2 linked regions of the Schizosaccharomyces pombe genome follow. Changing the gene in region 1 together with any one later gene gives a genetic interaction. Each region holds a gene or a part of one and is shown in the gene's direction. Other genes may lie near its edges. The genes, in order: met16 and aut12.

Region 1 (3,980 bases):
TGCAAGAAGTTATTGGCAACGCGATACTTTGCTTGGTTTACCACTAGCTAGACAGGTCTTTCGCCAGTTTTTCGTGTTGTTTAGCTCAGATTTCCTTATGATTTGCCTCAGCTTTTTTAGTTATGGTTTACAAGTGTGTATTGAGAAGAACATGATTAGATGGGCTAATTTGGGTTACACAATCCAAACTTTGTGGCAGGGCTTTTATATGGTGTTAGCTGTCTATTGGGTTAAGCATCGAGATTTTCCAATTGTTCAATGTGTTTTCTTCACGCTGCATTGTGCCGTTCTAATTATGAAACAATTTTCTTATTCTCACCATATGGGCTATATCAGTGAGATTCGTATATTGCATAATGAATACGAAAAACTTTTAAAGTTTGTTCGTGAATGCCTGAATTCCACCGAGAAAGATGAGAAATACACGTTTGAACTGACTTTTCCCAATAAGCCTGCTGAAACGATATCTACATTGCAGGCAGAAGAAATTGTCGCTTTAACAGCAAAATATTTGTCACGCCAGATGCGTAGCGAAGTGGGCAATGTTGTTTATCCTGATAACATCAATTTCTTTAATTACGTTGATTATTTATTAGTTCCATCCCTTGTCTATAGTATGGAGTTTCCTAGAGTTGCCCATTTCCGTTGGCATTATATGGCATTTAAAGCAGGCTCCACATTCGGTTTACTAGCTCTCACCTTGGCTCTTGTAGATTGGTATTTCGTTCCAAGTGCTGTGGCTGTCAAAGATCTTGACTTCATAGGGAAGCTACGCATTGCTCCCTTGTTAATGAACAAAATTATGTTTCCCGCTATCATACTTTACCTTATCATGTTTTACCTGATTTTTGATTGCATTCTTAATGCATTTGCTGAAATCACTAAATTTGCCGACCGTGGATTTTATGGTGCTTGGTGGAATACAGTTACATGGGATGAATTTTCGCGCGAATGGAATAAGCCTGTCCACGTTTTTCTCATGAGACATGTTTACCATTCATCAATTTCCGGTTTCAAATTAAAAAAATCTCACGCTGTTCTACTCACTTTTTTAATTTCCGCTCTTGTACACGAATTTGTGATGCTGCTCGCAACTGGTAAATTCCGGTGTTACATATTAACATTTCAATTATTACAAATTCCTCTTTATGACCTCCAACAAATGTTTGCTTTCAAAAAACGCGATATCCTTGGTAATGTGTTTTTCTGGATTGGAATGTTCACTGGTCCTTCATTTTTATGTATCTTATACATTGTCTTTTAGTATTTGTTTATGAGTTTGGTGGGTTTATTAGGCTAAGACTTTTTCTTATCATTCCCTTTTTGTCGGATATTTATTCTGGTTCTTGGAGTTGTAAATTAATTGCTTAAAACAAAGTGCCCTTTTTTTGCATATTGGATTTACGAAGGTTTATACCATAAAAAATTTTTTTCGTCTCCTTATTACACACCTTTAATATTAACTATAATATACAAAACGTTATAAAAGATTTGTGCATCAACCTTTGACTAACGTTATTGAAATAATTAAAGAGAAATTTTTAGTTCATTAGAGTTATAAATTTAAAACCAAAAATAAAAAAACGGTGTAGTAACATTAAAATGCGCAAAATCTCTCTCTTTCATCTCGTATTTGATACATTTAATAATATTCATTTATTCTAGTATACAATTCACTAACTATACTTAAATGCTAATGATCTTATTCTTTTTTTCTACAATTTACTATTACCAACTAAAATAGGTATCGTCTTGTTACCTCTTCCTTTGTAAGCATCGATGCAGATCTTCCGTAATAATTATTTTCCAAACCTGTCTGACTATTCTCTAAAAGTCTTACAGAGCACACCAATAGCTTCTATAAAACTATAAAAGTAAGTGTAAGTAAAATTTTTCTGCGTACACGACTCAAATTTTTTTTTTGGTTTTTTTGAAAAGTTTTCGACTTTTTATCTTCGGTTTAAACCATTGGTTCCTCGCCGACATAATTGATTTCGTCCCAAATTTTGGTTTTTCTAATTTATTGTACTCAATATGAGCTCAATCGATACGCCTGCTAATAAATTGCAAGCGAAAACCTTGTTTCACCCAGAACATCTCGAATACATCAACAAGCAGTTATCGGAGCTTAGTCCTCAAGATATCTTAAAATGGTGCCGTTGGACACTTCCTTCTTTGTTTCAAACATCTGCGTTAGGACTGTCCGGGCTTGTTATTATGGACATGTTATCGAAAATGGATATGAATGTTCCTCTGATTTTTATCAACACACTTCATCATTTCCCAGAAACACTGGATCTTCTTGAAAAAGTCAAAACTAAGTATCCTAACGTGCCTGTTCACGTCTATCGTTGTGCTGAAGCAGCCAACGAAAAGGAATTTGCTCAGAAGTTTGGTGAGAAGCTTTGGGAGACAGATGAATCTCGGTATGACTTTTTAGTCAAAGTGGAACCAGCAAGTCGTGCTTATTCTGACTTAAATGTACTTGCTGTGTTTACTGGCCGCCGCCGTAGTCAAGGTGGAGAGCGCGGATCTTTGCCCATTGTTCAGCTGGATGGACCAGTATTAAAGATCAACCCCTTGGCTAACTGGTCTTTTACTGAAGTTCATAATTATATTATTACAAACAACGTTCCATATAATGAACTTCTGAACAAGGGTTACAGATCAGTTGGTGACTGGCACTCTACTCAACCAGTTAGAGAAGGTGAAGATGAACGTGCCGGACGTTGGCGCGGTCGAGAGAAAACAGAATGTGGATTACACAGTCATCCTCAAAGTAAATTCGCACAATATATGGCGGAGCTTAAAAAGAAGGAGACGGCTGATCAGTGAAACAATCCTTTTGTGCAATGTTGTAAACTGCTTTTTTGTTATCGAAGTGCACCATATGAAAAAATACGGCATTTTTAAGTAGACAATTCAAGAGTTTCTCTTTGTTTTAGTTGGTCATTGTGAGAAGGTTTTCAGCATACATTCTTAGTAAATGGGTTAAATTATTATCGTGACGAAGAAGGTTAGGGATACACTATGAAGAAACTTCTCGGTGTTTACACCTATACAAATAGATATATTAGAAATAAGATGATTTAATTATCAAAAAATTGAAGTGGTTTATACGTTGAAATTTGAAGACCTAAAACCATATGAACTTACAATGCTTTCCTCCTTTTTTTTATTAAATATATAGAATAAACTATGTAGTATTGATCTACAAATTCATATATATATTTTTTAACAACAAAAATTGAGTCACCATTCAATTATTTTGTAATGTCACCTACTACTAACCGACTTATCGTAATTTATTATTGGTAAGTAGGCCTTACATATGTTTAGGAAAAAGAAATCCCGTGTACTCCAAAGGGACGTCAACTTTGGGAATTGTCTTGAAGACATGAATCTCCAAATTACCAACGATTTTTACTTGAGGAAGTTGAACGCGCCAAATGAGCTATATGAATTTCAAGTTACCAAAGATAAAGAGTACAACGAAAAATTCTATTTTGCTGTACTTGGTAGGGTAATCATTTAATTCAGGAGTTAACTTGCAATTGAAATTAGATCACGTTTACAGTTGGACTTTACAAAATTCCCTTCTAACACGAATATCTATACCATTGGAATCTTCACCGTCAGAACCACATAGTTGGATATATGCAACACGAAATTGGCAAACTAATGAAAATGGAATAGTTATAATTATACAGTCAATGTCGCACCCCTTAATCTGGTCAAATAGAAACTTGCGCGAAGGCGATGTGAGACGTGCAACTGTACTAGATGTAATAGCCAAATGCACAGAAAAGAAACTTTCAGTTGTAATATTTTCTCCCTCTGCGCTATTATGGGACCAAAGCATTAATTTCCCTAGGGTATGTGCAAATTTATTCAATAATGTTTACCAAAATTTAGACAACCCGTTATTTCACCTCTCAGGGACTTCAAATCACTAAAAAATCTATCATAAAAGGTAAGAT
Region 2 (4,522 bases), 1.7 Mb from region 1:
AACTTGATCATTTTATCTTCACCGATAATGATCTCCTCAATTTTCTTACAGTGACCTAATTTGACAAGTTCAGGATGGTCAAAAGTTGAAGCAATTTCACCACCAGTGACCAAAGACAGCCGCTCAATTCCATCGAAGTCTGCATGTTCAATGGACATAATACCAGCGTCAGCGAACAGCTGCTCTGGCCAATTGTAAATGAGTTGACGGTTAATGAAGCAATTAATATTATGACTTTTGATTTTTTCAACTTTAGCCTTCATTTTCTCGCGCTCAGCGCGTTCAAGTTCGGCAAGCTTGCCAGTTGTGTCTACACGAACCCTAGCACCAAAAACTTTCACTTTATCCGTATCCATAGCCGTATTAGCAATTAAAATGTTAGCATTTTCCATAACTTTGGGACAGTTAACACCAATAGTTTTATTGAGAATAAATCCCTCATCAAGGAAGGAGTCATCAAGTTTACCACCAAGGATCTTAATAATTTGAATGTTATCCAAGTTCGTGCTACCTTTCAAGCGAAGCACTGCATCAACAGCCAGCTGAGCAAAATGGTTTTTATTCTGAGATAAGATTTTGGAAGACAGAGTAGTTCTGGCAATATTCTCGAGGTCACTACGAAATTTAGCAGGATCACTAGAATTATCAATAGAGGAAGCACGAAGAGCATCGATAGCAGTTTTAGTAGCAATACGATAACCATCGATAATCACTTGAGGATGTATTTTTGCATTGACCATAATTTCTGCTTGACGAAGAAGTTCAGCAGCGAAGACACACACACTGGTAGTACCGTCGCCAACTTCATCATCTTGGACTTTTGAGATATTCACTAAAACTTTAGCAGCTGCATTATCCAAAGCTATAGACTTAAGAATGGTAGCACCGTCATTTGTCACAACAATATCACCCGAAGAGTTTGATTGTAAAATTTTGTCCTATAAATCGTTAATTAAAAATTTTTTCTATGTAGATTTGACCTTACCATTCCCTTAGGACCTAAAGTGCTTTTTACCAAATCGCCCACAGCAATTGCACCCACAAACGATGAAAGACGGGCATTTTCACCCCGCTCTTGGATGCCACTTTCGTTAAAAATCTGATGAGGATTTAAAGACTATATCGTTAGTACGGTTTTTACACATGATATTACCATTTCCAGATAGTGTACGATAAACCCAGAGTTGCGGTGGTTGAGTGGAAAGTAGCTTACAGCGAACAAGAAGCTCGTCGCAACAACGTAAGCCGTAGCTTACCAGGCATGTACCAGCGACTGTATATTTCTAGTTTTGGATCGTAAATAATATTATAATCAAATATTTTTATAATATATATATTTCATTCTCTTACGTTCATATTCATGCAAAAGAAAATAATGAGACAGCTTTTAAGCATTGCTATATAAAACACTATTCTATTACTCTCAAATATAAAATATCAAAAAATTAAAAGATTTCCTATATCTATTCAAGTCTCTATGAAGTTAATACCGACTACTGAGCATGTTCAACAAACTAGATGATGGTTGGCTTAATCGAGTGTTTTATTATTGCTCAAAATGAAATATGAAGCGTCGATTAAAGATTTCAACTGATTTTTTATTTTCGATTCCCTGTATGACTTGTGTTTTCTTACAAGTACTAGACTAATGTTTTTGTTTTGGAGCAATATAGATATTGAAAGAACCAATGCGCAAATCTCAATTCTATTCAATATTAGATGGAACCATCTCGAAAAGTTAGCCAACAAGTTTCTAGATCTTTAAATGTGAATACCATCCTTAGACCTTGAGAAGTCAAGGATAAGCAGCATTTTAGTTGAAACGATAGATCAGTGATCACTCCTAAATAACTCAATATAAACAGTTTGTAGTAATACATCTAGCGCTATATTCTAAGCGCTTTTTAACATTAATTTCTTAACCAAAGAGTATTCTTAGTTTAGAGCGCGTACATTTCATAGAACGTGTAATTATTAGTTTTATTTTAAATTCAGTACTGTTCTCTGTATACAATTGACTTCCATGTAAACGTATCTTGAATGCCATTTAGTTGTAATATGAAATTCTTTGCCGAAGACTCAGCCATTCCAATCTTCCCTTTTGAATTACCTATACAACTAGGTACGAAATCATCTTCGGCACAATATCTTTATGATTGCACCGCAAAGTTGAGTTTCAACATTTATTTAAAGAATCAATAATTATTTTTTATTCAATAAAAAGCAAAATATTTAAAACGCCTTCTTTTCCCTTAATTTTAACCGTAAATGAGTGAATGAAGCGAGGTTAGCATTATTACAACAGCTACAGTCCTCCTTATTCAATCCATCCCACTAATGAAAACAGCCAGTTGATGGAACCAACATCTGAGCATTCATCAATCAAGGAGGAAGTGGAAAATGATAACGTTCATAGATCTCATGAGTCGGAATGTGGATCACTGCTGTTAAACCCTGGTAATGTTCTAATGGCAGCGCCTTCGGTGTCAGAGGATGATCAAGAAGTAAGCAGGTCTACACCAGAATTGCGAAGCCACGTGGAAAACGTTGAACAATTACTTTCTGATATATTGCATGATAATTCCTCTCCGCTTAATGTAAGCACTTCAGTATCGAGCAGTAGTAACAATACGGCTGTTGATGAAATTATAAAACTACTTTCGTTGATATCTTTTGATTTGGCAAAACAAAAGCGCACATATTTGATATTCTCTTCATCAGGGAAGCCCGTGTTTAGTAACATTGTTGATGATTCAATTGAGCCATCAACCGTTGGCGCGTTACAAGCAATTATTAGCTCTTTCGAAGTGTCGAAAGAAGAGCTAACAAGCTTTTCTACCTTTTCCAATGTTATCGTTGTTCTCTCCAAAAATCCTCTTTATCTTGTTGGCGTATCGCCATCGACAACTTTAAGCGCAGCATATTTACTCAGTGAGTTAAACCTCTTATATTGCCAAATACTTACTGGGGTTACTGCGAAAGCTATGCAGCTGACCTTAAACTCCCGCCCAAATTTTGATTTGAGAAGACTTATTGGAAGCAACGAGCAGTTCCTAAAAGAACTATGTGATCAACTTAATGATTATGAATTAGTCCCCACATTGAATGCCATATCTCCTCTTCCTTTACGTTCCTCTTTTCGTGATCAGCTGTCGCAACTGCTGTTGAGAGAAACACCCAAATCTCTGCTGTTTACTTTTATAGCTATACGAGGTCGGCTTGTTTGTATGGTTAAGGCGAAGAAGCTTTTATTACATGCTAATGATCTCTATTTACTTTTCCTATCACTCTTCCGCACACAGTCTTTTAATGATTCAATGGAGCATTGGGTGCCTGTTTGTTTTCCTACTCTAAATCCAGATGCTTATATTTACATTTATAGCTATTTCCTATGTAAGGACACTGTCTTGATAATGGGGAGCAGCGAAAGTGGTGTCTTTTTTGAAATGCAATCAGTGAAATGCAAAGTTGCTCAGGAAATTCAGGATCATGGATGGTTGAAAAAGCTCATTTATTGTGAAGAAATGGATAGAACTACGCCAAGGAATCCCGGATCTCCTTGTATTTCACATTACTTGTTTTATTCAAAGAAATACTCACAGTTTTATACTCCTGGCTATTCATTTTCAACTCCCAATTTCAATACTAGGTACGTATACAATGATCTATTTTTCTTTACAATTTCAATACGATCGCTATCTTTGGGCTCATTTGCTTTGCTAACTATGTTTTTAGAACTCTTTATGCTATTTATGCTAGCTTACACGACCAGGCATTTCACAAAAAAAATTCTTTCTCAATTAATATGACTGTCCATGAATCTTTGCTTCTATTCACGTGGTCAACTGCATCGTTCGACTTTCATTGTATTGCTAACGCTACCACTAGCAGTCAACTGCTTATTGCAAATGTTAATAAGATTTTGAGATGGATACGAAGGGAGGAGAATCGATTATTTATACAAACAAACCTTTCGTTTTGATAATGAGCATGTAAAGTTTAATGAAATTCATTTCTTTTTATTTTTTATGATGTTTTGACAGTAAAATATTTAAAAGAGCGGTGATTGCTTCCAACAGCTTTATTAATTTTTCTTTTTCCTTTTTTTGTTTTAATTTATTAATATCAGCATCATTTTACTCACATAAATTTCCGACTGTATGAACTTAATATCATAGCGAGTCAACCGCGCCATTACCTAAATCACCACCAACCCTATTTAAGTACTAAACAATCGAAATGTTTGGTGGTTTAAAGAACTTTATTAAAGAAAAATCAGAAGCTTTAGCTGGTATTCATCGAGAATCAGATGAATCATGTGGTTTCAGAGTATTAAAGGTTGAAAACGATTCGAAAGCCTATAATGCCAGAATTGAGTCTTATTACGATTTTATAACGGCAGTGAATGGGATCTTACTGGTATGAACTGATTATAGTTTTATCATTACTAAAGTGTTTTTCACAGAATGGAGACCCTTCAATGTTTATGGCTTTGCTTCGTGATTCTTCCCCCGAAGTAACT

Evidence for each region.
Region 2: mutations in met16 (region 1) and aut12 together harm fitness more than expected from each alone (negative genetic interaction), as found in Schizosaccharomyces pombe (one large-scale study listed by BioGRID).

What each region holds. Positions count from the first base shown.
Region 1 is NC_003424.3:2,305,695-2,309,674, forward strand, and holds met16 (phosphoadenosine phosphosulfate reductase), read left to right. Parts: upstream 1-1,829; 5' UTR 1,830-2,034; coding exon 2,035-2,835; 3' UTR 2,836-3,184; downstream 3,185-3,980. Other genes in the region: acyl-coA-sterol acyltransferase Are1, read left to right, coding at 1-1,264; arb2 (argonaute binding protein 2), read left to right, coding at 3,332-3,518, 3,565-3,875, 3,916-3,973. UniProt on the Schizosaccharomyces pombe protein: The NADP dependent reduction of PAPS into sulfite involves thioredoxin which probably plays the role of a thiol carrier. Required for methionine synthesis.
Region 2 is NC_003424.3:641,345-645,866, reverse strand, and holds aut12 (autophagy associated protein Aut12), read left to right. Parts: upstream 1-2,328; 5' UTR 2,329-2,354; coding exon 2,355-3,649; intron 3,650-3,735; coding exon 3,736-3,982; 3' UTR 3,983-4,022; downstream 4,023-4,522. Other genes in the region: chaperonin-containing T-complex beta subunit Cct2, read right to left, coding at 1-938, 986-1,117, 1,154-1,156; grh1 (GRASP family protein), read left to right, coding at 4,240-4,419, 4,466-4,522.